Linked DNA regions of Oryzias latipes. The protein of the gene in region 1 binds, or shares a complex with, the protein of each later gene. Links are inferred from orthologs where the notes say so. Each region holds a gene or a part of one and is shown in the gene's direction. Other genes may lie near its edges. The genes, in order: gtf2e2 and polr2h.

Evidence for each region.
Region 2: gtf2e2 (region 1) and polr2h share a complex: the UniProt entries of both Homo sapiens proteins name them as parts of the TBP-based Pol II pre-initiation complex. The link is inferred for Oryzias latipes from reciprocal best matches to the Homo sapiens genes GTF2E2 and POLR2H.

The regions. Positions count from the first base shown.
Region 1 is NC_019859.2:11,931,048-11,946,981, forward strand, and holds the start of gtf2e2 (transcription initiation factor IIE subunit beta), read left to right. Parts: upstream 1-7,366; 5' UTR 7,367-7,588; intron 7,589-8,277; 5' UTR 8,278-8,282; coding exon 8,283-8,442; intron 8,443-9,236; exon of another isoform or gene 9,237-9,887; coding exon of another isoform or gene 9,888-10,199; exon of another isoform or gene 10,200-10,208; intron 10,209-11,971; exon of another isoform or gene 11,972-12,121; intron 12,122-12,990; coding exon 12,991-13,073; intron 13,074-13,455; coding exon 13,456-13,563; intron 13,564-14,745; coding exon 14,746-14,928; intron 14,929-15,035; coding exon 15,036-15,129; intron 15,130-15,934. Other genes in the region: smim18 (small integral membrane protein 18), read right to left, coding at 9,888-10,199. UniProt on the Homo sapiens protein: Recruits TFIIH to the initiation complex and stimulates the RNA polymerase II C-terminal domain kinase and DNA-dependent ATPase activities of TFIIH. Both TFIIH and TFIIE are required for promoter clearance by RNA polymerase.
Region 2 is NC_019862.2:11,770,529-11,786,575, forward strand, and holds polr2h (DNA-directed RNA polymerases I, II, and III subunit RPABC3), read left to right. Parts: upstream 1-7,984; 5' UTR 7,985-8,135; intron 8,136-8,282; exon of another isoform or gene 8,283-8,473; intron 8,474-9,177; 5' UTR 9,178-9,198; coding exon 9,199-9,271; intron 9,272-9,649; coding exon 9,650-9,733; intron 9,734-10,002; coding exon 10,003-10,096; intron 10,097-10,198; coding exon 10,199-10,282; intron 10,283-10,435; coding exon 10,436-10,553; 3' UTR 10,554-11,048; downstream 11,049-16,047. Other genes in the region: lisH domain-containing protein ARMC9, read right to left, coding at 653-739, 927-1,084, 2,222-2,246, 4,683-4,775, 4,890-5,045, 5,377-5,547, 6,780-6,905, 7,045-7,119; major facilitator superfamily domain-containing protein 8, read left to right, coding at 12,618-12,693. UniProt on the Homo sapiens protein: DNA-dependent RNA polymerase catalyzes the transcription of DNA into RNA using the four ribonucleoside triphosphates as substrates.

The DNA.
Region 1 (15,934 bases):
CCAAAAGTCTGTGGAGCTCAGAAGTGCTGACAGGTGATGCGCGCACGCTTTCTCGTACAGTGGTAATTGAAAGCAGTCACTCTGAGACTTCTCTCACCGCAGGGATTTGCACGACAGCTTCACCACTTAGCTCAATCTGTTTCTTTGATGTTGCCGCTCACCTCCAGACTCTGTGTCTGCGGTGTAACATTACTGCATGCACATGGAGTCATGCACGCAGAACACATCCATGCAAAAGCAAAACCTTCAGCTGTGTGAGAAACAACACAAACTCACTCTGTCGTTTCTGCTTGGAGACAATTCATGTTTCAGCCTCCATGTCAATCGGCTGCTTTCAGACCGCGTCCCTCTAATTGGCACTTGTTCTGTGTTCACCTGCACAGATCGTTATGCTTTGAAAGCATCTGAAGTGGATTTTTTTATTAACTTTGTCATACATAACTCATGTTTAAAACTTGTCCTTCATTTTTCCCTTTTTTTGTGAGATGACCAATTATTGCATCTTATTCCTAACAGATCAAACCCTATAATTGGCATAATGATCTATGCACTTGAAGTGAACCTGAAAAACAATTTTTTTTAGCTTGAAACCATAAAAGTTTTGGGATTCTTATCACAAGTGACCCCACTAAGGTTTATTATAATTGATGGAAACTTTTTTAAGTCTTTAAAGTCCTGTTAAATATTTTGTCTGCAACCTTCAACCTTCAGTGCCACATCACCCAGTGATGTGCGGTGAGGTTAATGGCTGGTGAGGCACTGACGTCATCAGTCAGATTTACAAACATATGAACCATATTGAGTATCTTATTCACCATTTGACTGACAACAGTTAACGTGTTTTGTTTAAAATATCATTTCAACATGTTTTTTTCATATACAAACTGCAGCATAGAAAAAGCACAAACCTTATTATCGTCTTACCTTTACTTGTACATAAAGTCCATACGCCGCTCCTTCTGAAGAAAATTACTTGCCGCTTGCTATCACTTATTCTATTATTTTTTAGCGTCATAATCTCAGGGCTCACCGGCGCCCCCTAACATGGCACGAGAACTCCTGGCCTCACCCAGCGGCTGTTTTGCCGGCGTTTAGCGCTCAGCACAAGAAACACATCCCTCATATACAGTTATTTATAAACACAAACACTGTACATCATATACATCTGCTAAATTATCTAAACTCAGCTCATATAGTACAAGTGATTGAACCGACATACAGAGAGACAGCAGTACCGTCTGACTGCATAGGTATTGCGCAATCCAAGGTGAGGCTCAGCGGGCTGGTGCCTCACCGCACGTCACTACTTAGTATCTGAACGGCAAATTCAGCGATTTTGAAAAGAAAAAACACCCAGAAATGGTACATTTAAATGGAAAATGACTGCAAAGCACAAATTACTGATTAAATATAATAATTGAATTTATTTTTTCTCTTTTCTTCCCATAATGACAGGTGAGGCTGTGCCCAAAGCACTTTACAGCTACAGTCCCATTCACACACACAGTCACACACTAATGGCGGATCCGCTGCCTATCACTGGCGCCAGCCTTCCACCAGAAGCAAGCTTGGGTTCAGTGTCTCGCCCAGGGACACTTCGACGCATGGGCGGGAAAGGTGGGAATCAAACCTACAATCTTCCAATCAGAGGTCAACCGCCTTACCACTGCACCATGGCCGCCCCAATCTACATGCTATTTTTTTTCTTCAACATATTTTTGACACCTGTATGGCATTAACTTAATTATTAGGCTTAATTTAATGGAAACTTAAAAAAAGCCAGAAGCTTAGTGTGGCAGATGATTCACACAGTGGGGTCTAAATCCAAATTTTGGTTCTGTGTGCCTTACCTCACACACCACTGCTGCTGTGGAACATAAAGCAGCTCAAACTAAATAAAATAGGCTACAAACCGAATGCTGATGGATTAATGTTGATCCTTGAGGAAAACAATGAAACATCCTGCATTTCAGCTGCCGGGATTCGTGTCACTGGGCATGAGAAGCAGGTTTTCATTGGAAAAGAACATCTTGCATTTCCTTCCTGCAGGTCTGTTCTGACGCCGATAGTCCACCCTCTGCTGCTGCTGAGTGCTTATCTCCCTTTTTTTTTCTCTCTCCCCCTTTTGTGACCTGGTGATACTGTGGTGTTATCTCATTACTCCTCTCGACTGAGTACCCAGTGGTGAAGTCACCTTCCTTCCTCCAAAAGCACTGCATAGCTTTGGTATGATGAATGAAGGCGGTCACGCAGCATCTGGAAGGGGCTGGGACGGCGAGTGTGCCCGTGTGTGGTGATCTGTAAAAAAAATAAATAAAAGAAAAGACACTGCTTTTAGTGTCTGTTTCCAAAATGCAGCAGCTTTTTCAGTAAATCTCAACCACTGAGGAGTTTTTAAAAAAGAAAAAAAAAACACAAATCCGAGATGCTGGTTTCTGCTTTCTCTGTGGGTTTTTGGTGAGCTTGTGTTTGGATGGATTTGACCCTATTTAAAGCCCTTTTTAAATTTTTTGCAGTTAAAGTCATTTATGACATCACTGACCTTTTTCAGAAATAGGCAAACAGGCGGGACAAATAGGGCGGCACAGTGGTGTAGTGGTTAGCTCTCCCACCTGACAGTAAGATAAGATATTCCTTTATTAGTCCCACGATGGGGAAATTTCCTTATTGCGGCAGCAGGACAGGAACAGAGAGCAAAATATAAAAGAAACAAAACTATGGAGTCAGTATAAACACATATATACACAATATACACACATACATTTCCAAAAAAATTACACAGGATGACCATATAATCAGTTAATACACTGGGTAAGATAAATAAGACCAAGCCGATTATGTTGTTTGACGTGGTTCACTGCGACCAGCTAAGGTTGTAAAGTCTGATGGCAGAAGGTAGAAACGACCTGCGGTGTCGCTCCTTCAGACACTTAGGATGTATCAGTCTGACGCTGAAGGAGCTGCACAGTGAGGACACAGACTCATACATGGGGTGGGCGTCGTTCTCCATCAAGGATGATAGCTTAGCTACCATCCTCCTCTCTCCCACTTCCTGTATTGAGTCCAAAGGCAGCCCTAGAACAGAGCTGGCCTTCTTCACCAGCTTCTCCAGTCGCTTCCTGTCTGCTGCCGAGATGCCGCTACACCAGCTGACCGCTCCATAAAAGATGGCTGATACCACCACAGAGTCATAAAAAGTCTTTAGGAGTGATCCCTGCACTCTAAAAGACCTCAGTCTCCTCAGCAGATGAAGTCTGCTCTGTCCTTTTTTGTACAGTGCTTCTGTATTGTGTGACCAGTCCAGCTTATTGTTGAGGTGAACACCCAAGTACTTGTATGAATCTACTCTCTCAATGTCCCTTCCTTGGATGTTCACCGGTGCAAATGTAGAGTGAGTGTGCCTGCGAAAGTCTACCACCAGCTCCCAGGGCCCTGGTTCTGACTTTTCTTTGTGGACTTTGCATAATCTCCTAGTACAGTTTTCTCCCCTTAGGCCTCTTCACATGGTCCAAAAAAGAGAAAAAAGCTTCATATGTTAATTGGTGAAGTTAGTTGAAAATTGAGCTTAATGAATCTGTCGATCAAAGGTGTCCCAACGTAATTTCAATTTAAATTAAAAAACAAACAAGTAAATTCTTTGTATATTATCTACCCTTAGCAAAAATAGTCAATGTAAGTACACTTAGTTTCTGCCACAACTGAGGGAGTACTCTTGAAGTTTCCATAGGCCTACTATCTACATACTGTAAATTTTAAATGTTCAAGTTTAATCTGAAGAAGTATTCAATTATCATACTTCCTACACTATATGTACATGGTCCACATTATACTTATACTCAAGTATACCTAATGAAATAACCTTCAGGTGTATTAATTTTTGCTCAGGGTAATCTAAACAAAGAGATGAAAAACAATCTTGGGAGCGACCCTCAGCAAAAACGAGTAAACTTGAAATGTATTTTATGAAGTATACTGAGTACTGCAAATATACTACTGACCATGTAGCTGTAGTGTAGGAAGTATACTATTGAAATACTTCACACTAAAGTTGAAGATTTTAAGTTTACAATGTATAGATAGTATATAAAAAGTAGACCTCAAGTACACCACCTCACTTTTAGTATAGACTAAGTATACTTGAGTATAAGTACAACAAATGTACTACTGATCATGTACCTGTAAGTGTAAGAAGTATACTAACTAAATACTTCTGACTAAATTTGAAGATTTTAAGTTTACAATGTATAGATAATATATAAAAAGTAGACCTCAAGTACACCACCTCACTTTTAGTAAAGACTAAGTATACTTGAGTATAAGTACAACAAATGTACTACTGATCATGTACCTGTAAGTGTAAGAAGTATACTAACTAAATACTTCTGACTAAATTTGAAGATTTTAAGTTTACAATGTATAGATAATATATAAAAAGTAGACCTCAAGTACACCAGCTCACTTTCAGTATAGATTAAGTATACTTGTAGTACAATAGACTAGTTTTTGGTAAGGGGAATTGTGAGGTAGTTTCATTATGATTATTTTAGGTTAGTATTAAGTAATCTAGTGATAACCTGTTGAACTGACATGATACCAATAACTTTTAGTCCAAAACAGGAAGTCAAAGTGTTTGTTTGGTGGATTTAAACAGACAGTACGAGTCTTGGCGAGTTAGCGCCCCTAGAGGTGCTGACTGGAATTGCCAGCCCAATTCAATACTTCCACCAACTCAACCTGCTGAAATTAGGGTAAAACACAGTTATTTCATTCATATTTGATTTAAAAAAATGCTTTTCTTTTGCTGGTAGTGGAGGAAATATTATTTTCATGTAGTTTTATTCACTCATCTGCACAGTTTTGCAAATAAACACCAAAATACTTTAAAAAAAAATTGCTAAACTAATATCCAATCTTTTATTGTCAACCCACCAGGCTTAGAAAAACAAAATATTTTTCAGGCAAGTATATTAAAATAACTGTGTGCAAATATTTGCTTTAGCGTAATTTACACAGAGCCAGTCTGTTGAGAGAAATGTGCATAAGTGAGGCAGAAAAATTAATGAACCACTAAGTGGTGATGTTGAGCTATTTTCCTCTGGAGATGAGCCATTCCCACTCATGGATGAGGAGTGTCTGGAAAGATACGCAGTGACATTAACCAAATGGAAAGCGTAAAGTAAAGGGAGAAAAAGGATGGGAAAAATATTCATTACTGTACCAACAAATGTAGCATATAGTTGCATGTTTTTAAGTAGATTTTAAAATGCTGAATGAGTTCTCTCTGTGGTAATTGCAACTAGGATTGAACTGGATAAAAAAATATATACATCTTTGAAAACCCTGTGATTTCTAAAACAAACTTAATTAGACTTCAATGTGTTTTTATGTACAGCCTCATTAATAACACATATTTCTGTAGAATAAATAGAATATAGCTCACATTCCCATGCCTGCAGACTGAAATAATGAGGGAATGATGGGTAATTGTTTGGGATTTATGAAATTCAGGGAACTTAGAGTCAAAAAAGCGGCTGGATGGCTGAATGCAGGACTGGTTTGTGGAAAACCAGGGTTCATTTCCCAGGGGGCACGATGAGCTGAATCCAGTGTGGGTCCTTAGGTAAAACCCTACGCGGTAAGTCCCCCTGTGCCGGGTCCCAAGCCCGGATGAAATACAGGCTTGTGTCAGGAAGGTCATCCGGCGTTAAAAAAAATCTCTGCCGAACCACCTGTGCAAATCAGTGAAAGCTAATTCGCCGTGGCCACCCCCTGAAGGGAAACGCCGAAAGGTGAACAACAAGGGAACTTGAGGTCAAATAAGGAGAATCAGTTACAGAGTATGAAACCACAAACATGAGAACTTTTAAACCAGTTTAAATGTAATCTTCATGTTTTTCTTTCCTTTTTTACGCCTATTTATACTTTATCCTTGTTTGCTTTGTCCTTTCAAATGAGAGAATAAGACACTGAAGCCAAATTCCTTGTATATGCCCTCATTATTCGCTAATAAAATTGATTACTAGTCAGAGAAAAAAAAGGGAAAGTAAAATTATTTTTAGTATTATTTCTGTTTACAGTTTGGGGTTTGTTACCTCCAAACTGTCACTGTGTCAGAGTTACACTGCATTACATGACTTTATTACTTATAAAGTAATAATAAAGGGAAAGTAAAATTATTTTTAGTATTATTTCTGTTTACAGTTTGGGGTTTGTTACCTCCAAACTGTCACTGTGTCAGAGTTACACTGCGTTACATAACTTTATTACTTATAAAGTTATGACTCGTAATCAATTATTACTTATAGCGTTCTTTGTAAGACCTACAGAAGTAGAGGAAGTGACAAGGTACTGTCAAGCATTTCACTCTAAGACAAATGGCGATAAGCTTTAATAATCATTAAGTGAAAGTACAGGAAGCAGAATCACAGCTTTTTGTTGTTAAAATAAAACTATGAGTCATCTACCTAAATGGATAACAGAGTGACAGGAGAACCGTAGGGGTCTGTTTACCTCAGGAAAAGTGGAGCTGTCTATTAAATAATGATTCCAATCACCACACTTTGTCAAAAATAACTGATCAGATACATTTTTTTCTTCAAGAAAAAAAAAAAAAAAAAGATAAACACATTTGTTCAAGAAATCAAAAGTTAAATTATTGTTTCTAAGCTAAAAGTGATGAACCATGAGTTTATAAAGATATTTTTAGCAGAGTTTTTTTGTTCATGTGTTCTCGTCTCATTACTAAGTATGTAATGACTTTAATGTCATAGTAATGCTTTACACCCCTTTAGAACTGCAAAAGGTATGCTATCGTAATGTATTTTGTAACTACGTGCTGTAGGCTCCTCTACAGTAAAAAGAAAAAAAAAGGCTTTAAATTAAAAATATTATTCAAAAATAAATCCTGGAACTTTATTAACATTTCACTTAAGTGTTTCATCTTTTAACAAGAAATGAGATTAAACTTTATTGGTCAAAGCACAAAATTTGGCAAAGAAAACTTGTAAAGATTATGTTTATAATCGAAATGGCAATCACACCACAATGCAAAACAGAACATATTACAGTCAGGTGTTGGAAATAATACTTTTAATGTCTTATTACAAACTGTTGGTTATAATAATATCCAATAATTTTCAGTTTAAAAACTGAAAATGTTGGGGGAGAAACATTTGCTGAAACTATTTAATTGTTTTTAAACGTTCCGGCAAGAATTAAAAACTGTGAAACAGAACACTCATTATTTTAGCTATAGTTTCAGAATCCCTAACCAAAATAGCTCTCTTGCCTGAAATAAGTTGACTGTCCTCCAGTCCAGTAGGTGGCGATGTTGAGCTACACAGCTGCGGGTTTTTGCTTGCACGCGGAAGACGTCACCCAAGGAATAACATACGATAACGATAACCGACAACTCGAACACTAAACGAAACAGTTACATGATGGATACAAAAATAATACTTTTTTATTAGAAAGTAAGCTTGAGTTTACTTAAGCTTAAAATTGTCTTTCTATTTCACTTTTTAGTTTATAAATTAGTCTATCGGGACTTATTCGCCACTTTCTGGAAAGAAGAACTCAACAGTAGCAGGTAACGTTGACATGCTAACACTAGGATTAGCATCACATTAGGTGTTAGACAATGCGGGAACATTAATTAGCGGTTATGTGGGTCATGCTGTCACGGGATTCGGTTCTTTGGGGAAACTGGACTCTAAAGGTTCATCTCGATGACTTTTAGCTGCTTATATGAAGTTTTTTTTTTCCCGATAAACTGAAGAAGAAGCTAATCGGACAAACAGCGAACTTCTGTTATATATATGTTTAAATATGTTTTGAGTTGAGTTTTTAGTCCACTGTTTCTGTATTAAGTGTATTTCTTTGGTCACTGTTAATGTAGTAATTCCATGTCTTTGGCCCATATTGTCAGTAGAAGAACCGAACACAATTATTTTTGGCACAAATGGAACACCGTAGTTTTGAAGAACAGAATCCTGTCGTGTCAAGACAATGTTTTAACATCAAATCTAGTTACTAATAATAATCCTTATGCTCTACTTAATATTTGAAGAAAAAATAGTAAAACAGCTGCATCACTGATTAGATTGAGAAAAGAACCAGGTAAACATACCAGGTATAATAGATATGCATGGAGATGATGCACCTCACTGTTTCAGTATTATATTTATTTCATAAATTATATTTAATTTAAACGTTTGAAGCTTAGTAAAACTGCATTTTATCCAGCCTTTTCTGTGTTTACATGCTTTTGTCCACCAGCCTGGATGGATCCAGCTCTGCTTCGCGAGAGGGAGCTGTTTAAGAAAAGAGCTCTCTCCACGCCGGCTGTTGAGAAGAGACCAGCTGCATCAGACTCTGGATCCCACAAGAAGAAGAAGCCCAAGTTAGACAAGGAAGGCTCCTCTGGCTCCAAACACAGCACTGGTAGGTCATGCTTTATATCTGGTTACTGAGCTTCTCCTGGACGTGCCACAAGCTGCTCCGCTCCATTCTGATAAACCCACTTGCAGACAAATGGATCCATGTACGTCTTTGTTTTCCTCGCCTGGGCTGCCATCTGGCGTAAACCTTAAGTTTGCTCACCAATGTTGGGTTGGGTGTGTGAGAGGCTGTAAGCTTATGAGAGAGGATATGCAGAGAGCTCAGTAATGGATGACTGGAAGGGGGGGTAGGGTTGCTCCTTACAGCGCCGCTGGTCCCACTCGCAACTCAGGTGAAATTCCAATGAACTACTGCCACCCTGCAGAAACTATGTCCTAGAAAAACGACCCAGATTTTTTTAATTTTTAGCTAAAAATGACCTTCTCCTAAGTAAAAGACCAATGGAAACGCTTTCACAATAGATCAAAATATGATCGGAGGGGGTCTTTGAGTGAAACTGGCAGATTATTTTTAAGGATTATGTTTTCTTTCTTTTGTTTGGTTTAAATGTTGTTGTTTTTTAATGGATGGATGATGTAACACCTAGGCAATCAAAACTCATTCATCTGTCACTCATAGGTTATTCTGAGTCAAATATTTGAATAATTACGAAAAGCAAAGTGGTCAAAATTCTGCTGTCATTGCTTTTTTTTAAAGGTGTGCACAGATCAAAAAATGACTTCTAACATTTTTATAGTAAATATAAATAAAGCCTAAAAGAATTCTTTGGATGAAAGGACTGATTCATAAGAATCATGAAATATAGAGAAAGAAAATTCAAACTCTTTAACCAAACTTTTTGTTAGATCTCATTTTTATTGATTTTCTTTAGTCTTTTTATGTTTGTCTTCATGAAAATGCCAACATACCACATTGACCAACAGCCGTCCAACGCTAGATTTTATCACTTCATTTAGTTGCTTTTGGAAAATAAACGTCTTCATCTGTTAAAAAAGTTTCAGAAATGTCAGATTTTCCACCTGGTAACATGAGAGTGGCAGCTGATTTCTATACATCCACTACAAACAATTACAACTTTCGGCTCGCCTTAACATCCATTTAAATGAATCATGTTTATTTATAACAATTCTTTTTTATCATACCACAATGTTTTTAACCCAAAAGAAAAGATTTCCATCAACTTTTATCGGGTTTGTGGGAAGCCAAACGAAAACCTTTATTGTGTCTACAAATTCACGACTGTGTGTTTACCATAGAAGAACGGCAAAAAAACACAAAACTAAACAAAGATGACATGAGTCTTTAAAGCCCTAACTCGGCAAACGTTTCTGTGTACAGAATACTCTGGAACATTGATTCATTTTTTTCTTTGCCTCTGAATTGGATGCATGCAAATAGACAGTCTATGGTATCAGGGGTGCTTGTTTTGGCAATAAATTGGGCATCCCAACCCCAAACTCTTCCATTTTCCTTTGTCTGTGCTGCTGCTATACCACCTCCGTGTGGCTCTCCAGCTCCTTGCATGTTCTCGTCATGAGATTGCTGCAGCTTCCCGACCTTTCTTGCTGCAACTGGTGGCGCGTTTTCCCTTTGGCGCAGCAGCCGCAGTCCAGTAACTCGTAGAGAACGGCCAGAGCGGCCAGGGACAGAACGGTGAGGATGAAGAGCAGGAGGATGACGAAGCAGGCGACGTTCCAACCGTCGTGGAAGGGGTAGACTTCCTGTACCTGCAGGGAAACGTGGGACATGGGGATGGCCTCGGGGAGGGAGGGGGGTACGGTAGCTGTGGCGTTCGCCATGATCCGTGGCTAAAAAAAAAATGAAAGGAAAAAAAAAAAACATTAATGGTCTGTAGCAGTTTTTCAAAGCAGAAAAAAGGCTTTTGGAATAACTTTTATTTATGTTTTTAAAAAAGTGCTCGAGCAAGTGCCCAAAACAACTGATTTAATAGCAGATATGTAAATGAGATCAAACAAAATCAGAGAATCATTTAACAGCTGGAACCTGGGCGTACGTCCAGGGCATCAAAAATAGTTTTTCTTACGCTGTTAAACTTGCTGCTGGACTGGTTTAACGCCGAGAAGATCTGGTAATTTAAAAAAAATATATATTTTTCAAAATAAAAGATAGCTGAGACTCAAAATCACCCGATTGGGTGGAAAACTGCAGAATCTGGCGCAGAATCTATTTGCCACATTCAGGAACAGCAGAATCTGGCAAACAAGGAATCTGCGCTTCCGTGTTGGGCTCCTGTGACGCATCGACACAGTAGCTGTATTGGTCATGTAACTTTTCCTGAAGCGATGCGCGCACCAGCAGGGTTTCACTTTATGAGCTTGACATGTGTTTCTCAAAAATGCATCAACATTAACTATAAATTGAACCACAGAAATATAACCTTTATTTTTGTATGTTTATTTTTGTTGTCTTACATTGGACTTTTGTCTTTTAACTAGCATCCCCTAACATTTTGACTAAAGCATACTGATTAAGGTAACTGCAGTCTGAGAATGTTTGAAAATGGACAATTATTTATATACTTAAACGTTTTTGAATAATCTAAGGGGAGACTTGGTCTCTTTTATGAACTTTTTCCTAAGAATTCTGCCTCTTATTTTTGGATTCCTAAACAAAAAGTGACGTCAAATTATATTCTTTAAAAAGCCACTGTGCTTTTTTGTTGCTTCTCTTATTTTTCACGAGCTTTGGAAATGTCGAACTTTGTTAAAAATGTGTTTTTGCTGAGACATTTGGTGAAGTTCTTATCAAATGTTGAATTTAAGCACAAATGTAAACACGATCAAAGTTTGTATTGTGTATAAGTTGGGAATTAATTTGTGGTTGCGTCCGTTTGTCATTCCCCGCCTCTCGTCTCTAACTGCTGCACACTGAGCATCCTCTCCCTGTTAATCAAGCACTAACAGCTTCATCATCACTCGTCGCTATGACAACAGCCTCTTTTATTGCATGTGTTTTGGCCAGCCTCCTCCCTCCCCCCCCCTTTTTCTGTCCATCTCCCCTCACCAATGCTCTCTCGGCTTATCCATTATCCTTCCTGAGGAGTCGCACAAAAACCGGGACGGTGCAGCATCTGTTACCTCCCTCCCCTAAGCGAGCGAGCCCCACCCCGGCCGGGCTCTGTGGGCGGCATTGGAGCCACACATTTGCTTTTTCTCAACACGCATTCCAAAAAAAAAAAAAGCTGTCTGGTTCCTCTCAGTCTCGACTGATTTGTGCGTCCGTTTGTTCGCTCAGGTTTTGTGCGTTTCAGCTGTCACAGGTACGGCGCCCGAACGTGGGACACTCACGGAAATGGTCCCTGGAATGATGGTCCCTGAAACCCGAGGAGCGCAGACTGATCCATGTTTATTTAATCAAGCGTACCCATGAGAAATCCTGGCTTCGGAATATTACAGCTGAGGAGATTGAGGGCTGCTTTTGCCGTTAGCGCGCACAAAAGTAGCTTTTAGAAATGATTGCTAATATCAACTGGAAAATCCTTAAAAAAATGGCAGATCCTAAAAAAAAGTGCCATTTTAAGAATCCTATTCAGAGAAACATGCAGACTCACCTGTCTGGCTGTGGCTGAAGATAGAAGACAGAAGATGCTCTCTCCTCTTTTCACTGCTGCACCTGTCTGTCGGTATTCCCCTCTTCTCAGCCTGCACTCGTCATGGGTTCAGTCCATACACTCCTCCTCCTCCTCTTCCTCCCCCGCCACTCCTTGCAGTGACCCCCCCCCCCCCCCTTACACCCCTTCTTTTCCTCTGCCTTAGCTCCATTTGTTAGCCAGCTTGTCATCGTTGTAACGTCCCGCCTACTCTGCAGCTTAAAGCTGCAGAGGCTCCAGCTCACAGCCTGAATCACTTAAGTTTTCACCAAATGCTAGATCCATTTAATATTCATGTCTTATCAGAGCAACAGATTAAAAACGGCTTAAAAAAACCCAAGGAAATGCAATACTATTTTTAAAGACCCATTTGTTAAAAATCGTGCTTTTGCTGTTTTTTAACAGGGTTTTTTTTCTGGCATTTTTCTGCTGACAGAGGACTTTTATTTTGAAAATTTAGCTTGAAATAGCCCTTTTGAGTTTTTTCTTGATTCAAATCCTCCTGAATTAGAAGTAGATGAGAAAACACCGTCTGAAAAAGATGATATTTGTGACGTGGAAACGGTCGGCGGGCCATGAGCTCCCTGCTCCGCTCCATTCTGATGCATCCACCTGTAGACGACTAGATCCACGAATGCCTTTGCTTTCCTCGCTGGACATTCGGCGAGCATGTAAACAGAGAGCTCTCAGCAACAAGGAGGGGAAAGGGGGGTGGTGTAGCTCCGCACCAACATTCCCCGTCCACACCTTAGAGGCAAATTTGGAATGAACTCCTGCCGCTCTGCAGAAACGACGTCCTAGAAAACGACACAGGTTTTCAGATTTGGGCGTTAAAACGGACATCATCATAATTAAAAGACCACTGGGAACACTTTGACAATAGATCAGAAGATGATCGGAGTGGGACTTTAAGTTTGTGTTTGCCAAAATGGCTTTAATCTCAACCGTAAAAAGCTTTTATTTTGAAATGTCATTCACAGAGAGCAGTAATGGCAACATCAACATCAAAGCAAGCTCCGGGTACAAATTCGGCTGCCTGGCTAAGATCGTCAATTACATGAAGGTAAACATGATGCTTTCTGTTTGTAGTCCAGGGTAAAAAATGTTTTTTTTTTCTCTTTTGTTTATTTGTTTTTTCCCCGGCACATGTTTTTGACGAACGTGTGAAGTTCATTTTAGCCCCCACATTAGCATCCACATCATTGACCTGCTTGTGCTCTCTCCATCCAAGCTGAGCAGTGGGCCGTGTCAATCTCCCCGACTGACTGAATCGGCTCCCACTTCATTCCACCGATTCTCTCTTTGTGTTCTTTGAGCCATCTATCTGTTGAATGCAGCGGCTCCAAGTTACCCTAAACCAATGGAGAGATGCACGGCCCGCCTTTTCACTGAGAGACTCCGATATGATGTGATGTTTTCTGACTTGTTTTGGTGTGAAATTACAGACCAGACATCAGAATGGCGACACACATTTCCTGGCTTTGGATGAGATTCTGGATGAGACCAAACTTCTGGACATCAGTATGAAACAGAAGCATTGGCTCATGACAGAGGTGAGTTTGCTGCTCCTCCCAGCTGTGAAGTGATGGAGTTGGTGTTTTGTTAGAAACATTTACCCAGCATCCAAGCAGCAGCACTGCGACTTCAGTTCGTTTTGAAGATCAACCTTTTCAATGAATGAGATCTGTCCAAAAAATAACAGAGAAATTCCACAAGGATCTGGATCTAGACGACAACTTCATCTGTCAGACCCAGAAGTTTTCAACCGAAACTGGAAGTCTCCTTTTCCAATATTCCTCGAAAAAACTTTATTTTAACAAGCGACTGTAACAGTTACAGTTTTTCTGTTTCATATGATGCTTTATTTAACCCATCGTGACGATCAGCATATATATATCGCTTTCCTTCGCCACTGCAGTCGAGGTAAGTACCGGCTGAGCGCCGCGTTGTCACGGAAACATGTCAACGCGCTGCACCGCGGAAAAAGTAGTCTGCTTTTTGCGAATAAAGCAATCCAAACTGTATAAATAAAGTTCTAAAAAGTGGTTGAATATTTATTTCTTTTGTAAATGACTATGGTATAAGCGGGTTAATGGCCTTTGAAGTCTGCATTAGGGTTAGGGTCTGCCGCGATCTAGCGTCTGTGTGACACGGCCTTAAAAGCGTGAAACTTCCTTTTGTTGCTTTTTTTTATTCCCCAATATTCCTGAATATTTATGATTCATTTATCTTGTTTTTCTTCTGGATTGTAAGGCTTTTAATTCATTTAAAAAACAGCATTCCTCCGCAAAGAGCAGATCTTTGTTGAAGACGTGATCAACTTCCGTGTCAAACCTTCAAAATAAAGCTCACGCTAATTACAGACAGGAGACACTTTTTGGTTTAAACATGTCCTAAAAAACTCTTGTGGAAAGGCCGCATTACAAACCTTGATCATTTTGTTTTGCACAAACACAAATCCCGTTTGGATGCATATACACACACCCTCACACACTTGTAATCAAACACACAACAAAGCCCTTTATCGTCTTGCATTGCAATGTTTTCATGCAGTATTTAAAAAAAAATACGCTTGCTCATTTTTGACCACCTTAATCCTAAATACTGAATAATAAATGACATATTAAAGAAAACCTTTGGCTGACATCAATGTGACCTAACCTGTTTTCACAGAAATGTACATTTTCTCGATTGCTAAATGTGACGGCATGATAGTCAAATAAACATCCTTTCAGGCGCTGGTCAACAACCCAAAGATCGAGGTCCGAGATGGAACGTACGGCTTCAAGCCCAAGTACAACCTGAAAGACAAGAAGGCCTTACTGAGGCTGCTGGACAAACACGACCAGCTGGGACTGGGAGGAGTGCTGCTGGACGACGTGGAGGAGGGGCTTCCCAACGCCGCCAAGGCCATCAAGGTCAAAAAGCATCAACAATTGACGCTCAGTCATAGCATGGCGATGTGTGATAAATGGTTAGTGAGGGGAGGCAAAAATACTAATGAGATGAAAATGACCTTTTAAAGGCTTTGGGGGATCAGATCATCTTCGTCACGAGACCCGACAAGAAAAAGATTCTGTTCTACAACGACAAGCACTGCCAGTTCACGGTAGACGAAGGTGAGTCTTCCTCTGTGAGGATTTGAAAGGTTTAGGATGTTTCTTTAACCCTTCAGATCCTCCTTACATGTAACGAGGTTTTTCTACAAGAGTGTTCAAATATGAATAGTAGCATTTGCTCAAATTCATATTTCATTCTGTGCCGCTTCTATGGAACAAATAGTTTTTGGAATTTTCTTACCGCCACATTCTCCAAAAATCACCACAGTTTGCACACACCTGGTACCCGATGAAAACCACTTTTGGGCATTGTAAGCGACCCCCCCCCCCCCCCCCCATGATGACATCACAGCAGGAGAAACAGACACAGAAATGAATCGGGGCAAAGTGTCATATGCAGTTCCAAATCCACAGGCGATACCAAAACACACTTCGGGAATATACAAAGGAAGTTTGAAATATTATGGGATGGCCACTGGACCTACTGCTTATCAGATGTTTTTGTGTGAAATTTGCAGATTTTCACAAAAATGAAATCACCTGTATTACCATCTACAAATTAAAATTCCTCCAAAGGGATTTTAATCTTCAGGACTCCTCAAACATCATCAGGAAGCTACTGGGAAGAAAAAAAGTTCATTTGAAGGTTTATAGATTTTAAATAGTGTTAGCGTAGCGAGATCACAAAAGTGGCGTTCCCCTATTTCTGCCGTATTTTTTACGAGAATGTTGTGAAAATGTAACGTATCAATCCTTGGGTCAAGCTCAAGAGATCACTACAAATTATGATGTAAGCACGGGGGAGTGGTTAACAAAAAACCTGTGTTGCCATGGAAATCCAAAAACTTGCTTTTCCTCTAAAAAT
Region 2 (16,047 bases), on another chromosome or scaffold:
AATTAGCTTTCGTTCTAAATGAAAAAAGGTTTTCTTTTTAAAGTCAAGTCATGTCATGTAGTGAAGCGAAGTGCTCTACATATTTACCGGTAGTCAAATAAAGCTAATGAGTTCTTTGAACTATACGAATAAAATAACTGCAAGTATTTAGAAGGAAAAAAAACTAGTTTAGCAGCTGATTTGATGTGTTAAGGAAAATATAACTCTTCGTTAGACTTTTGCCATTGAGAGAATTACAGAAGAAACAAAAAAAGGTCAGTTATATATTTAAGAACTTCCTGAAAGTAAAATAAAAGGATGAAATAAAGAGGTAGCACCAAATTCTACACAAGCACTGGTCAAGATCAAGGATGGTATGAACTACTGCAGAAAAATACCAAGCAAGTTAACAGTGACATTTTTTTGAACAGTGAACAAAAAGGATTTTTCATTGTAAAGCTTGTCCTTGTTTCTTGCTTAATTTACTGGAAGACACCGGTATATCACTTCCAAAGGTGAGGTATCTATTTTATGATCACATCACTTTCCAGAAATTGTGCCACCCCAGATAAAGGATCTCAGCTCTTGTTCTGGGAACAAATACTACTACTATTACTATCTGGATATGCCAAGTTATGCATCGGGCTCGGAAAAACTCATATTGTGTACTCACTGTGCCAGGCCTTGTGAAATCACTACTCTGCCTCATCTGATTGTTGAAAAGGCGAGCATACACACTCTGGAGATACTCAGGCGAGATCTAAAAAAAAACAAAAAAACATCACATCAGCTTTAATAATCTGTCAAATGACAGCCATTTTTTTGTCATGTCCACATGGTATTATATTTTAAAGGTTTTTAATTTGCACAGTGCACACTAAACTCGCAAACATAAGTCTGTGAGTGCACCCACTACATGTGCGTACTGGGTTTCTGAGGCGGCTTACCATTTTCCCACTGATTGTGGCTTCCAAAGAATCAACCAGCTCGGCGGTGATTCCGATCAGATTGTGGTAGTCTGCCTGCATCTTGTTAAACTTCCTTAAGCAACTGGAAAGGCGACGGTCCGACTCAGCAAGCTGAAGCTGTAGCTGCTGTATAATGTCTGAAAAGTAACAAGAGCTCATAAAGACATGATTCAGGCAACTAAGGTCCATTTGTATTCTTCCAATTTATTACTTCTGGCAAATTTATTATATTTAACAACATTTTTCAGGAAATTCTTGCTTGGACTTTTACAACTTTACTTTATTTTACAAAACATATGTTTATGTTAATTGAAAATTTATATAAAGCAGTGTTTCGCTATTACTCTTATTTTGTTTAGAGATGTTATAACACCACTATAGTTCAGTTTATTTCTTTTGGTTGAGGTGCTAGCATTAACAGCAATCTTGAATTTCTCCTCGGTGTGATCACTAAAGTTCAATTCAATGCCAAGTATAAAGATTTTTTCAAACAATATTAAAAGTGTTTTAAAGGAATAAATATATTATTTAAAGTATTTCAACTGAATAATTATTCTGCAGGTACATTTATTTGATCATTGTGGAGATATTCATCTTTTTTTAAACTGTTTTGTATTAGCCAAATTAGTCTCTAGCACTTACATCCCAGGTTTTAGTAAATAATACGAGCCTTTTGGAATTCTTTACCTGTAATTAGTTATATTTTTAGTAATATATTACACTTATTTGATGATTAATTATTTACCCTTTAAATTGGCAGTTTCATTTTATTTAGTGTTGATTAGCATCATTCTGCTTTTTCATTAACTTTACTATTTCTTTAACATTTTCTTTCTCCACATTAGAAATATACTGTATATGAACTACTTTAATACGTAAATTATTACCTTTCCTCTTGAGACACAGAAGTATTGATAAAACTTTCATCCATGCCTAAGCTTTGGCAAACTGTTTATAAAAACTGCCCAAAGCATACATGTACGGTACATCTTAATCAGATGTATATTTAAGAGGTGTGGTCTTTGACCCTAAATCCTTTAGTGTCATAATCCAAAGAGCAATATTAAAGGGTGTTCAATGTAAATTAGTTAAAACATTTCTTGAGAAAGGAAATAAATACGGAATTGGGAGGGTTTGATAAGTTAACATAATTTAACATTTTAACAAAGTGGAATTCACTTATTTAAAACATCTTTTAACTTAATTTACAGAACAAATCAACCTATTTTAACAGTTGCATGTTATTCTGTACCATCATTCTGAAGGTTATTTACCTTTAGTAACTTTGCCGCCCTCTTTCTGGAGGATGTCTGTTAAGAATGCATACATTATTTGTTATTTTTCTAACATTAATGTTCTGTAGGATTTAGCTAGAGGCACATGTAAAGAAAGAAGGGAGTGAGAGAGACAGCCATATACAGGATCTTCATAAAGCTTCACAACGGACAATACAAACATGCGTGTTGAACATCCTGTTTGAAAATCTATTTATTTTAGAATCAAAATTATATGTCCTATTGTATGAAAAGACGCAAGTACTGATTCAATATTTACTTACTTTCATTAAGTATTATGCTTTAACCAACACCCTTGTGCAGCAAACACACCTGTCATCTAATATTTTCAGAAACACTTATGCAATGACTTGTGAGTTTACACACATGCACATCTTTCACTGCCTACATAGGGGATGGCTTTGTTTTCTGAAAAGGTTTTAGGCAAAGCCTGACTCATTTCATTTTTAGAATAATCCAAAATTTTAATAAGTATCAAAACAGTATAAGGGCTCATGGAGAGGAGTTAAAAAACCAGTAAAAAAAAAAAAATTAAAATAAAAAGTCTTACACCTCGTCAGTGGCTAAGGTAAGGTGTGTTGCTTGAACATTTCCACAGCTATGTCATTCCAACTTGTCATGAGGTATACATTATTTCTTAAGCCTTTTCTTTATTTGTGTCTCTGTTTGTGGTAAAAGCCACAATTTTTGTTTGGGCATTTTTCCACTTGAAACTAGGACTACTAACAACTGTTAACCCCTTCATGCCTGACTTTATTTCCAGTTATATCATAAAATATTCTTTTGTGTTTTTTTTAAGCTGATCTGGATTAAATGCTGCATCGTGGATTAGCACCATACTGTGAGAAGGGGTTAAAGATATTTTTATTACAACACCCATTTTCTCCTTTTATTAATAATTACAAAAAAATAACAAAGTCGCATTTTTTTTTACATTAAATTGCCAATAAACTGAAAATAGGTTTATGGTAAAATCGGTCTTCCCTGTGAATGAAATGTAGGCATTACATAGTAACTACCAGTAGTTGCTTCAAAGTAGACATAAAAACAACAAAATAAAATGAAAACTTTTATAGACATTGGTAAAGTTTTATGGAAAAAAGAATTCTTGATATCAGCCTATAAAACCTAAAAAAATATATCTTAAAAATAATATTTTGACTTTTATGCCTATTACTATTTGTTACATTTCAAAGCTATGGAAGCATTTGTGTAGCACAATTAAAAATAAAAGTCAAAACCAGAAATGCTTTTTCATTTTCAAAATGAAGCTGCATTTTTTGACTAAAAGTTAAAATGAATTGCAAAATTGCATTTTCGTTTTAATTATGACACAGAATAAGCGTTTTTTTTAAGTAGAAAATGAAAAAGCATTTTGAAGCATCGATTTTTCATTTTAATTTTCGAGTCATTTGATGCAGTTACATTTTGAAAATTAAAAAGCATTTCTATTAATCCATTTTAATTGTCAAATTAGACATTTCTAAATGAGTTTTGCTACACATTTACCAGAGAACTTTTTGAAAATAAAATGTCAAATACCATTTTCTTTATCATTTGAATTAAGTGACAGAATAAGCAGTGTTGACGTAGAAAAGGAAAAAGCATTTTGAAGGATTGCTTTTTCATTTTAATTTTGAGTGAAGAAATGCAGCTTCATTTTGAAAATGAAAAAGCATTTCTGGTTTTGACTTTTATTTTTAATTATGCTACACAATCGCTTCCATACAAAGCTTATAATAAATGAACAATGAATTATATAGTTAAAAAATATTTACTTTTACATTTTTTCCGCTAAACTTAGGAAGAGTACTGTAATTCAATTTTAAACTGGCACTTAACCCAAAATGAAAAAAAAAAAATCATTTTGTTTAGTTTGTTTGTTTGGTTTAAATGATTACATTTTACACCCAATAAATACACTAAATGTTTTGAAAAGTGAGGTGTCAAGAGACGTTTCATCAGTGAGTGGTGGACAGGGAACCTGCTTTCACTTTCTGGTGTTGGTTTAGCTTCTTCTTGTGGATTAAAGAGTACAATAGGTGTCTACTAAGAGGTTTTAAGCACACATGTTTTTTTTTTCTGTTTTCACAACTGCCCCTGTCCATGCTGTCAAAAGTATATATTCCTGGTTTCAGAACATTGGACCATGTCTGTCTGTGCTCACCACACTTACCAGACACTCACTAGTCTATGAGGTTTTGTGTGTGGGGAAAAAAAGATACGAGATGCAAATAAACTCTGAATAAGTGGGAGGAGTTTTTCCTTCTTTTGTTATTTATTCTTACTTTATAAAATTACAATTCTACAATAATAAATGTCTATGCCAAGAGATTATATACTGGTATAATATTCCTAATATGTAACAGGAAACAGGTGCTACACCTCTGTTTTGCCTGACAGTTTTCCCAGCAAAAGACCAGACCAATGAAAAGGATACATATAAAGTCATCAGCCTTGGAGTCTTGGAGGGTTTTAGTGTCATTGTCAGGAATTTGTCCAGTCTTCCCTTCAACTGCTGAATCCAGGTATCCTAAAGGTAGAAATACATTGTTTGACAATAATGTCAAACCCTGTTGAACTCTGTGGTACCCAGTAATAAACAATGAATGAAAGTTAAAGTCAAAGAAAGTTTCCTTTTGATCACCTTAAAGAGATCTTTGAAGGAAGGGTGAACAGCAGGGAAGGGAACAAAAGGCAAAGCATAGTAGGGCAAAAACTCTGCGTTTTGGCTCAACTCTGCTCCCCGAGTTTCAAGATATTGTTTGAAGTGGGAAATCCGCTCTTCAAATTCCGTACGGTCCTGGAGAGGAATGGAAGTTAGAAAAAAAATGAACCCAAATAAAAAATGGTGCCTTTAACCCTTGTGTTATCCTAGGCACTTATACTTTGGGAGTTGGGTCATCTAGACCCACTAGACAGTGCGCTGAACCTTTTTTCTTGAGAACACGTCAATGTGAGGGTGGGGTCATAGGATAGCACAAGGGTTCAACTCATAGCCATATAATTCCAGCTTTATTGAATAAAAAAAAGCAAAGCTTGTAGCACAACCTAGTGGACAGCATTAAAAACAACAAATCACAAGACTACTGTTTTCGTTTTTATGAGAACAAGGAACAATTAGATTCACGTACTTGTCTAACTGGATGGCTCCTCAGTGGGAAAATGGTGAAGTGGACATGAAGGTAGAACTCCAAGCCCTGGGTCTCAGCATCTAAATCTTTCACCTCAGAAGGAATATTCTCTTTCCACAGCTCAAAGAAAACTTTGTGGTCTCCATCGTCAAAAGAGCTAAGAAGGTCTTCCTTCAAGTCAGATTTAAAAAAACATAACAAACAAAAAAACTTGAAAAGAAAATCACTAACAAAAACATTCAACTGTTCTTATGAACATTTTATTAGTAAAATAATCTGCAATCTGGTCAAACATTTTTCTAATAGGCTAGACTAGAAGAAAAAAATGTAGAAATGCAATTTCTCCATATATGACTTGTATATGTGGAATCATTTTGTGTCTGCAAATATCTTGTTCGGGTTTGTTTGTTTATTTCAGGAATCCCCACAAGTCTTCTCCAGAGTAAAGATTATTCCTTCTGCGCTCTATTTTTTTAAATATACACTACTTACTGTTTTACACATAATTAGAACAATCACGATACTACACATATAGAAAACTTCAATCACTTTAACTAACATTCTAAAAGTATGCATGGTTTCAATGCTTTTTATACCTAGAATGGTCTGTAGCCTACACATATTATCTATAACTATCAGGGGGTTGACAATTCTTCTTTCTCTTTCGGCTTTTCGCATCAGGGGTAGCCACAGCGAACAAGTCGCATGGTAAACTTGGCAATGTTTTACGCCGGATGCCCTTCCTGATGCAACCTTCTCAAAGCAACCGGGCTTGGGACCGGCACAGAAGTAGAGAAGGGAACATCAACTTAATTGAATATTAGATTTACAATCCTAAGATTCAACCAAATCGATCTGTCTGAAGTAAGCCATTTATAGAAATAGGTCGACCTATACCGTTATAAAATCATTTCAAAATGAAACAAATCGATTATAATCAATATTGGAAAATACCGTTTCGATTGAGGTACGGTACGTTTATTTTACTATAATGTTAAAACTACCAAGTGCATCACAGCGGACAAAACACGTGATGGCAGCATAAAACTGATCAGTCCGTCATTACTTTGAATTTAGTAAAGACATGACCATACAGTGTGGCAGAATGTTCTGATAATGTTTAATTTGTATTTTTTTGTGGAAAAACAACAGTGGGTTGAACTTTATGAAACTAAAATGGGAATGGATTTGCCATTAACTCTTGTTTACCGGTACTTGTTTGTTTGCACACACATTTAATTTATACTTGATTATTTTGCAAGAGATACAAGGAATGTGGAAAACTTCACCTGCACTGATTAGAACCCAGGTATTTTTCTCTGAGTGGAATTGTTGTTAAAATGAATCCTTACACCCCTGATTACTATCAAGGACTAAGATATCTTATGAAACGTATAATTTACCTGAATGACACGAGTCTTTGAGTCTCTGAGAGCGTTTCCTCGAGGCTTGGAGACAAGTTTGCCTTTGCTTTTACATTCTTTGTCAAAAATTTGAACCGTTTCTTCAAATTCCCCAAACTTCAGGTACTAAAGAGAACAAACACAAAGTGTGTTAATTATACAATCACCATCGTGGAATACATTGAAATGTTAGATCAACTATCAGAATAAACAGATTATGGATTTTAATTGCAGTTTTTTTCTTCACATCCCTATCATGCTTTACCTCTTTAATCATCCCAAGGAGATCGGCTTCAGTTGCCAAGATGTCTCCCATCTTGGCTGTCTTAGTTGAACTCATCCGTGGACCACAGCTGTCAAAATACCGGCCGTCATTTGGGGCTCAGTTTGAAATTCCTTTGCACTTACAAAAAACAGGTAACAGTCTGAACAGACAGAATAGCACAGACAGGCAAAAAGAAAAAGAAAAAAATACTTCAATAATTTCACGTTTTAATGTAAAGATGACCAGTCTTGCTTATTCGAACAAGAGCAAATAATTACAACCTGTATTAACTTGTACGGTTTCAGTTTTCTTTCCGAATTATTATTTGTTTGTTCCAACCGAGGTTACTGTAGTTGTATTCAATTCAATTACATTGTATTTATAGCCCAATATTTACAGCAATAGTCATCTCAATGGGCTTCATTCCGGTAATTGTGTAATAAACATGAATCATAAAGAACATAAAGTCATAGAATTCAATAGCTGATTGCTAAACTAAACAGAAGAAACTAAGTGGACATCCCTGCCCTAAAACTAAGACCATCCTAATGTTACTACTATGATCAAAAAAAAATTATTTTCATCTTTGTATGCATTTTATAGCGGAAAACACGTTAACTATAACGGCAGAGATTTGAAGAGCTGCAAACTGCAGGAAGCTAGTCAATAATTGTTTCAGTCAGGTTTGTTCACATGATGAGCGTTCCTTACCTCGTTTGACCATCTTTTCTTGGTAAGAATCCGCATTAGAAGTTTCATTAAATATTTTATTTATGCTTAAAATGTATATTGGTAATTATTTTTTCGATATAATGACGCTTATGGTAAAAACAACAGCCTTAACATTAGCTAGCAACCGTCCACACAGAGGACGCTAAACGCACCTAGCAACAAGATGACGACAGACGGAAGTTAGTAAAAACTGTCGTAAAATTAGTTCAGTTGTTGGTTACTTAAATTATCAGTTAAATAATTGAGAGAAAACAAATACTTTTATAAAAATCTTTTTTTTATTTGCTACGTAAAATTTAGCCAAAATATTATTCGTTTTTTCCCCATCTTTGACCTATTGTGAGCCTTCAAATAAAACGGTAGGCAAATTTAATTGGTGTTATTTTAGTGATCATTTTTTCTACATTACACCATCGCAACGCATTTTTCCCTTTCTAAAAAATGTATAACATTCAGTAAAGCAAAACATGCGTCTTTCTTTTAAAAGAAAAAAAGAGACAAAAAAACGGAAGTTCTTGTTATGTCAAAGGTCGAACACGCTGGTTCTGCGCGGTACCGACTATTTCGCTTAATAATGAATGAAAATCTATCTAAATCAAATATCTGACGTCTAGGTTACATTATTATCGTTTTTACACGAATTCACCACATTCCAGGGCATACTATTTACACAAAAATACAAGAACAGCACTTGGGGGTAAGTATTATATTTTGTGTGGACAACATGATGCTACAGTTAGCGCGTAAGTGAACATTGTTAAAGTTGTCCAAAGTTGTGACAAGTTTTGTTCACCCACTTTGACACGGTGGGAGAGCTTTGTGATTTCCATTTGTTTTGACCTATTCCTTTTTCTTTTTAACTTGTTTTTAATTAATTATAGTCAAGATCGGGACCAGAACGCTTAGGAGTGACCAGGTTAGACAGGATAAGGAACGAGTACATCAGAGGGACGGCCCATGTTGCCTGTGTTAGCGACAAAGTCAGAGAAGCCAGAATGAGATGGTTTGGACATGTTCAGAGGAGGGATAGTGGATATATTGGTAGAACTAGAAGGATGTTGGAGATGGAGCTGCCTGGCAGGAGGCCAAGAGGACGGTCAAAGAGGAGATATATGGATGTCTTAACAGAGGACATGAAGTTGGCTAATGTTAGGGTAGAAGATGTTCATGATAGAGTGAGGTGGAAAAGGATGATTCGCTGTGGCGACCCCTGATGGGAAAAGCCGAAAGAGAAAGAAAGAAGAAAGAAGAGTCATAGGAATTTCACACTGAAACTGTGAAAAACACAATATAGCACTCACTGCTATAGTGTGTTTTTCTTGATTGACTTGGCTACGTAAAATGCTTTGCTGTGTGACTAACCTTCCCTTTTAATTTTGTTTTATGATGAATCTGTTTTAGGTTTAACAGAAAGGGATAAAGATGGCTGGGATTTTGTTTGAAGATATTTTTGATGTGAAAGACATTGATCCAGATGGCAAGAAATTTGACAGAGGTATGTGGACTGTCACTGTAAAAACACAAAAACGATCTTCACCAGTAGATAGTTTCAGTTGTAAAAGTCATAATTACAATTGTATATTGCATTTTTGTTCATATTGTGTTAAGTGTGACTAAAAAATTGTGTTGTCAGTAATTACAGCTTTTATTTTATTATTTTATTACAGCTAAACATTACAGTCATCACATTACTGAGTTGGGAAACCTTCAATCCTGCTTTTTAGTAGCTTTAAAACTAACACAATAACAAACATAATCATTATATGCATTTGCTTGAAAAAGATGGATATCTAAAAGCGCGTTAGTCAGTTTCATAATGTTTTCAGTTCTCTTTAATATAAACTAATACAGGTTATTATTACTTATACTGCAGTGTCTCGTCTGCATTGTGAAAGTGAATCTTTCAAGATGGACCTGATCTTGGATGTAAATACTCAGATTTATCCTGTTGATCTTGGTAAGAAATTAACAATGTCCTTTATTGTTTATGTCTTGTTTGATCTTAGACATTTGGCCTTTGTGGAGGAATTTTTAAATTGATTATTGGTAGTATTTAGTGAAACTGTCATTCTTCACTCTTGTAAGGTGTTGGTGCAGAATTGATAAGTTATTTTAACTCAGTTTTGACTCAATGTAAAACTATTGTATTAGAAGTGTAGCTTGATCTTAGGTGATTATGTACATTGCTATGATAAATCCAGATTTTTTTTTGCATGTTTCAAAAAGGGGACAAGTTCAGACTGGTGATTGCCAGTACATTATATGAAGATGGAACGCCAGATGATGGAGAGTACAATCCCCAGGATGATCGACCATCTAGGCAAGGCATTTAAAGAAGATAAATGAACATCCATGTCTTTCAATCTGTGGCAGATAATGTGTGATGCTTTTGATTCATCTTCCATTTTTAAATTGTTTCTAGGGCAGCTCAGTTTGACTATGTAATGTATGGAAAGGTCTACAAGATAGAAGGCGATGAGACCTCAACAGAAGCAGCCACGCGTCTGTAAGTTCTACACAAATGCATGTAGATCATTACAATCCTTTATTTAAGTTAAAAGTCAAGTGCTGTCAATTTAGTGATTAGTAAAAATTTAAATAAACTGTATGTATGTGTAAATGTTGATCAAGTCCTCTAATGATGTGCTTGTTCTTTCAGCTCAGCCTATGTGTCTTATGGAGGCCTTCTCATGAGGCTGCAGGGAGATGCCAACAATCTACACGGCTTTGAGGTAGACTCCAGAGTCTATCTCCTCATGAAGAAGCTGGCCTTTTAACCCCCCTCCTCTGTTTTCTACCGCCTTCATCCACCTTTGTAAAACTGGGATCTAGAAAAGTGGAACATATGAACATCTTAGAGACAAAACACCATGTTTTTGTAAACCTCTGTTGTATTTTTTATAGTTCCTCCAACAAACTACACTGAGGTCTGTGATTTCCACTTGGTGGTACACTGTAAATAAATATTTCTTTCTTTTATACAAAACAATTACAAGTGTTGATTAACTTCATTTTATAGCGATGAATACTCTTCAACAGTGTTGCAGAACGCAGCAAAATGAAACCTGGAGACAGAAAATTGAATTATAGGGAAATAAGCGGCTTTTGTGCGCCAAACAGGACACTTAAAGACTGTTATAACAAATGTCACAAGATGGGAATCACTCTGACTCACTGAATACTGGTATGTGCACACAAAGCTTTAAACACAAACAGAATGGATTCATGTTGTAAAATAAAGTTTTGCCCTTTGTGGTACTGACATGTATTTTAGCATAAAGTCTGGATTTGGGCTTTATGTAGTTATCCAGCTGATATGTGATCAGTTGCATCTCATGATATGTATGACTTGTCTAAAAATTTCAATGCTTTTGCTAGTAGAACAGTTTAAAATCTTCATCTCTTACTTCCATTTTAGTTTTGTCTGCCTTGTTTCAGCAATGACATTTTCAGCTGCATTCTGCTGCTTATGGTTCACTTCAGATTGCCTGAGCCAAAAATCTATTTTTTTTCTATTAGTACAGCTCATAAAAATTGACATGCCATCAGTGAAGACCTTAAATGCAAATAATGAGAAGTTTCCATTTTTCCAACCAGCCTGACCTTGAGTCAATTTCATGAAGGGTTTATTATATTTAATTGAAGACTATTTTATTGGATTAGTCATGCAGTAAGAACAACACGGGAATACATGCTCCATACAGACAAAACATAAATGACATTCCTTCATTTTGAAGTTTCTTTATTTTTCTAAAATAAATTATAATTCAAATGAGAATCTGGAAACCGGAGAGGATCCCACTTTTTGAAAAGTACCTTTTTACTCAGGCACTGAACAGAGGATGCAGTGGAATCTTGGATGATGAGGTTTATAGTTGTCACCAAACTTTGACTCATGTTTATTTTAATGTTTCATCCAGTTGAACAGTTGACTCCTGATGATCATGAAATGCTGTGAGGAGAGACAGCAGCTTCATTTTGCTAACCAACTCTTAGGGCAGCAGGAACACGATTGAGGTTTAAAAGGTTCTGATATTGCTTCTGCATTTTGATTTGGACTCAGATAAATGAGGAGTCATTGTAATACATTTTAACTTGATCTAATCTTTGCTTAAAAAAAATCCCTTTTGCTATTGAGGATTTGTTATTTTGTCTGGTTTTATAAATATCTGACAGAAAAATTGCTGTTACATATCCTTCATGGTAAAATCTGAAGTTTAGTTGACTTTTTTTTATCATGCAAGCTTAAATAAATGTGAAAACAGGGTAGTTCTATCATGATCCCTGACAGCATTTTGTTAGACTTTACTGCAGGTGGTTACATGACATCATAACAAATGGTTAGGCTCTAATCAACTTTTCCTTTTTTTTGTATCTGTTAAGGCATCTAATTAGTTTAAAAAAAATGTCGGTGACGAAATTGATCTAAATTGGGAACTGGCTCTGAAATCAGTGCAAAGCGCGCTCCCGAGACAAGACTACTCCTTTCCAGGAGTTCGTTCCTGCACAACACCGGAAAAGACGGTGGCCATGGAGGGGCATGTCGAATTGTTTTCTTACGAAAAAGCGTTGCTGGACTTTGATTGACCGTATGTGAAGGATCTTCGGGCTCCTCTTTGGTCTTAGAATCGCCCCAGGCATTGCTAAAATATCGTATTTAAATCGTGGAGGAAAATGCTGATGTATTTTGAGCTTTTCTCAGATGAATAGCCAGGTTTAGCATCTTCCCCAGCTTTAATTGGAAGCCTCGCTCTGTGGATTAGCTCAGCTGTTTGTCAAAGCATGAGGAGCGCGTTCAGAGAAATGATAGAGACGGGAGAATAGCAGACCACACCAGCAAGATGGATAATCGCCGTAAGAGGAAACTGACATTCGCTACTATTGGACTCATTTTTCTTCTTAGCGGTGTGGAATATGGTAAGACCCCTTTCTGTCTTTCTGACGCTCTTTATTATGGACAGACGGGTGATAAGGATTTAGTTATTAGTTATCGTAAACAGTGTTTTTCAACCTTTTTTGAGCCAAGGCGCACGTTATCCTGGACAAAAGTCCCGCGGTACTCCAGCATCCAAAAATTAAAAAAGGAGAAACTCTAGTCTGTATTGATTTATAGTCCACCCACAATCTCACGTGAATTTTTGTGATAATTGTGGTAGAAAAAGCTGGAAGTTGCAGCTGTTTTTGTTAGTTTTCAGTAATTGTAACTTAATTATTTGACATTTTACCCTGGTAGTTGTTTTTTTCCTCCTGTTTATTAACATACAATTTTATGTAACCTCACAAAAAACATTAGTCTTTCTAAATATTGATTTTTTTTTTTAAATGTTGGTAAAATAAATTTTTTATTTTTTTACAATATGATCACAAATGTGTTTGATAAATTTTACACAAAAAACTAACATGTTTATGTTTATTGTAGCTACACAAAAAGTGAAAATGTTGAAGTTTTATTAGTTTTTCTCTTGTCTTAATCAAAAATTAAGTCTTTAACAAAAATGTTTTATTTCTTTTTGGATTATTAAATACGTTTCAATTTATTTTAAATGTGTCTGTTGGCCACTTCACCTTAATCCTGTTTCTTAAATGTTGCTATTACTTCTACTTAGGTTTAACTTTTCATTTTTTCACAAGTGATTGAAGTCTGAAAGCGAATTTGTCTTTGAATCCAGACATTATTAGAAAAGTGTTTCAGTTAGAAAGATGACTTGGACCAAACTCTGGGATGTTTGGTTGTTAATAAACACAAAGCTTGAAGGAGAACTAAACTGTTTATCTCTGATTTCATCAAGAAGATTTAAAAACTGTTTGTGTTTTCGTTGTGGTTTCAAGATGTTTAACAGGGAAGACTCTTTGTACGCCAAGATGCTCTCACTTTAACGCTATGCACCATGGGAGATGTCGTGATGACAGACAGACTCGCTTCTCTGAGCTTCATTGTTTTGTCGACTTGTTCCACGGTCTGACATCAGATCCCACGGAAAGCTACACCGCTAAAGACAAGCTTTAGCTGTTTTTGTTGGAACTGAGAGACTTTATGAGCAGAATCGGGACAAGCATGTGAAGACTTTAACCACTTCTGATTGGTCGTATGATTGAGCCTCCAAGAATGATTGGTGGAGACAGTTAAAGGGGCAGGACTTTTCCGAAAACAGCTGAAGCTGTGGTTAAATCGCGTTACCTTCATTCTTATCAAAGTGTCTTTTATAGAATCAAATAAACACAAAGAAAAATGTATTTTATGATCTTTCATATTCCTAACCGCTTAGTGTTTTATCAGGCCTATTTGGATGAACACAGAGCTGATATCCTGGAGATGGAAAATGTTTTTAGATCAGTGAAAAATGGGCAATTTCTCATGGCACACCTGACCATCTCTCACGGCACACCGCAGCACACTGGTTGAAAAACACTTCTAAAACAGTCAATAGTTTGCTTATAATCATGTTTTATTATCCACAATGATACAGTTAGAATTGCAGTGATTATAAAGAGTCAAAACTGATGCATAGCCTAAAAAAATTGAAAACAAAAAAACTCCAGATATGCGTTTTTTTTTTTTTTTTTTGGCAAACGTTCACTCTCTTAGGTTTCTTCCTTTTTTGTTTATTTTTATTTTTTATATGCACCCTAATATAAAATCAGACACTGACAGTTGCAGTGAAAAAAAAATAATAAAAACAATAGAAACATCTTGGATCAAGCCAAACTTTATTCATAAAGCCCTTTTCAAACAACAGTGTTTTACAGAATTAAAATTAAAAAAATCTTTCAACCTCAACTAAAATACAAAACAAAAATCAAATACCTTTACATAATAATAATAATAATAATAAACAACCACAAATTAACCTCACAGAAAATACGTTTTCCCCCCACAGATTAGCACAGGTGGATTGGCAGTGAGGTTTTTTGCACAGAATGCCCTTCCTGACACAATCCTATGTTTTATCCGGGCTGGGGACCGGCACAGGGGGACCCAGACATGAGCCCTTTTGTACGCTTAACCAACTGGGTTATCCAGCTGCCCTGAAATGACCTATAGATAAAAATAGAAAAAGCTTTATGCTGAAGTGAGAAAATTATTTTCTTGGGATCTGTCCACACCAGCAAATCAAATCAAACTTTATATCTAAAGTCCGTTTACAACTCGTGCTACTCAAAGTGCTTCACATAAAAACATAATCAAATTTAAAAAAAAAAAGGGCAAAACAAATATTTTGTTTAAAACCTACGCAATGCCACACCGCCCCTTACACACAAACCATGGTAAGAAAAATGATAACCTCCCCCAGTCAAGATCACAAAGGACATCTCCCCAGGATCCCCTCTTATCAAAGCGAGCAGCCAGAGCTAGAAGATCCCACTGCAACAACCCTGTTCACTAGGACGGCCGAGTCACTGGTGTGGAGGATTCCTCTGAGGAAAACACTGGAGTTTAAACAAAATGAAAATAATATGCATAAAGGTAAAAACTAATGTCCAATGAAACCTTAAGGCATTATGAGCACGTATAATCAATGAAAATACATAAGGGTCTAATAAACAACAATCCTCCTGGATAAAACAAAACAAGACGAATACATCAAATGTAATTATCAAATTGTATTTCTGAAATTCTGCCTAAAGCCAGGATATTCTGATCAAAAGATCCTTCAAATGTGTGTGGTAGGCTGATTAAAAAAAAAAAAGATACGGTATTTCTTTTTTTGTGTATTTGTTTATCCACTTATTCATTTACTCTAATTTTTGTGATCACAAAGGAGTAATTACTTTTTAATTGGCTCTAATAAAACTACAAAATAGGGATCTGTCTTTTTCTGTTATTAAATTGGACTTTTTTCATTGTATCTTTGTCTCTTTCAGGCCAGAACAAATTAATTTGAATTGATTAAAAAAAATGTAAAGATGAATGGGTATAGCATTAATGTGGACACCCAGATAGAAGAATCAGGCCATTCAGAAAATTAAACCAGAAAATACTTTGGAGATTCTTTGACTCCTTGATTACTGTGGAAAGGAAACAAGTCACTTGCTGAAAGCTGTTTTTAAATGGTTCTACTTTAAAAAATATAACATTATCTCTTTTTAAATGATTATACATTCAAAAATGAATCATTTTCTTTATCACACAGTCCTTGTTGTGTCAAAACCCTTTGATAAAACCACATTTCAACCAAATACACCTTGGTTTGAGTGTTGAGGTGGAAAACAGGGCTTATCTCGACGAGTTTAAGAAGGCTATGTACTTTTAGGGTTCCTACCCCTCAAAAA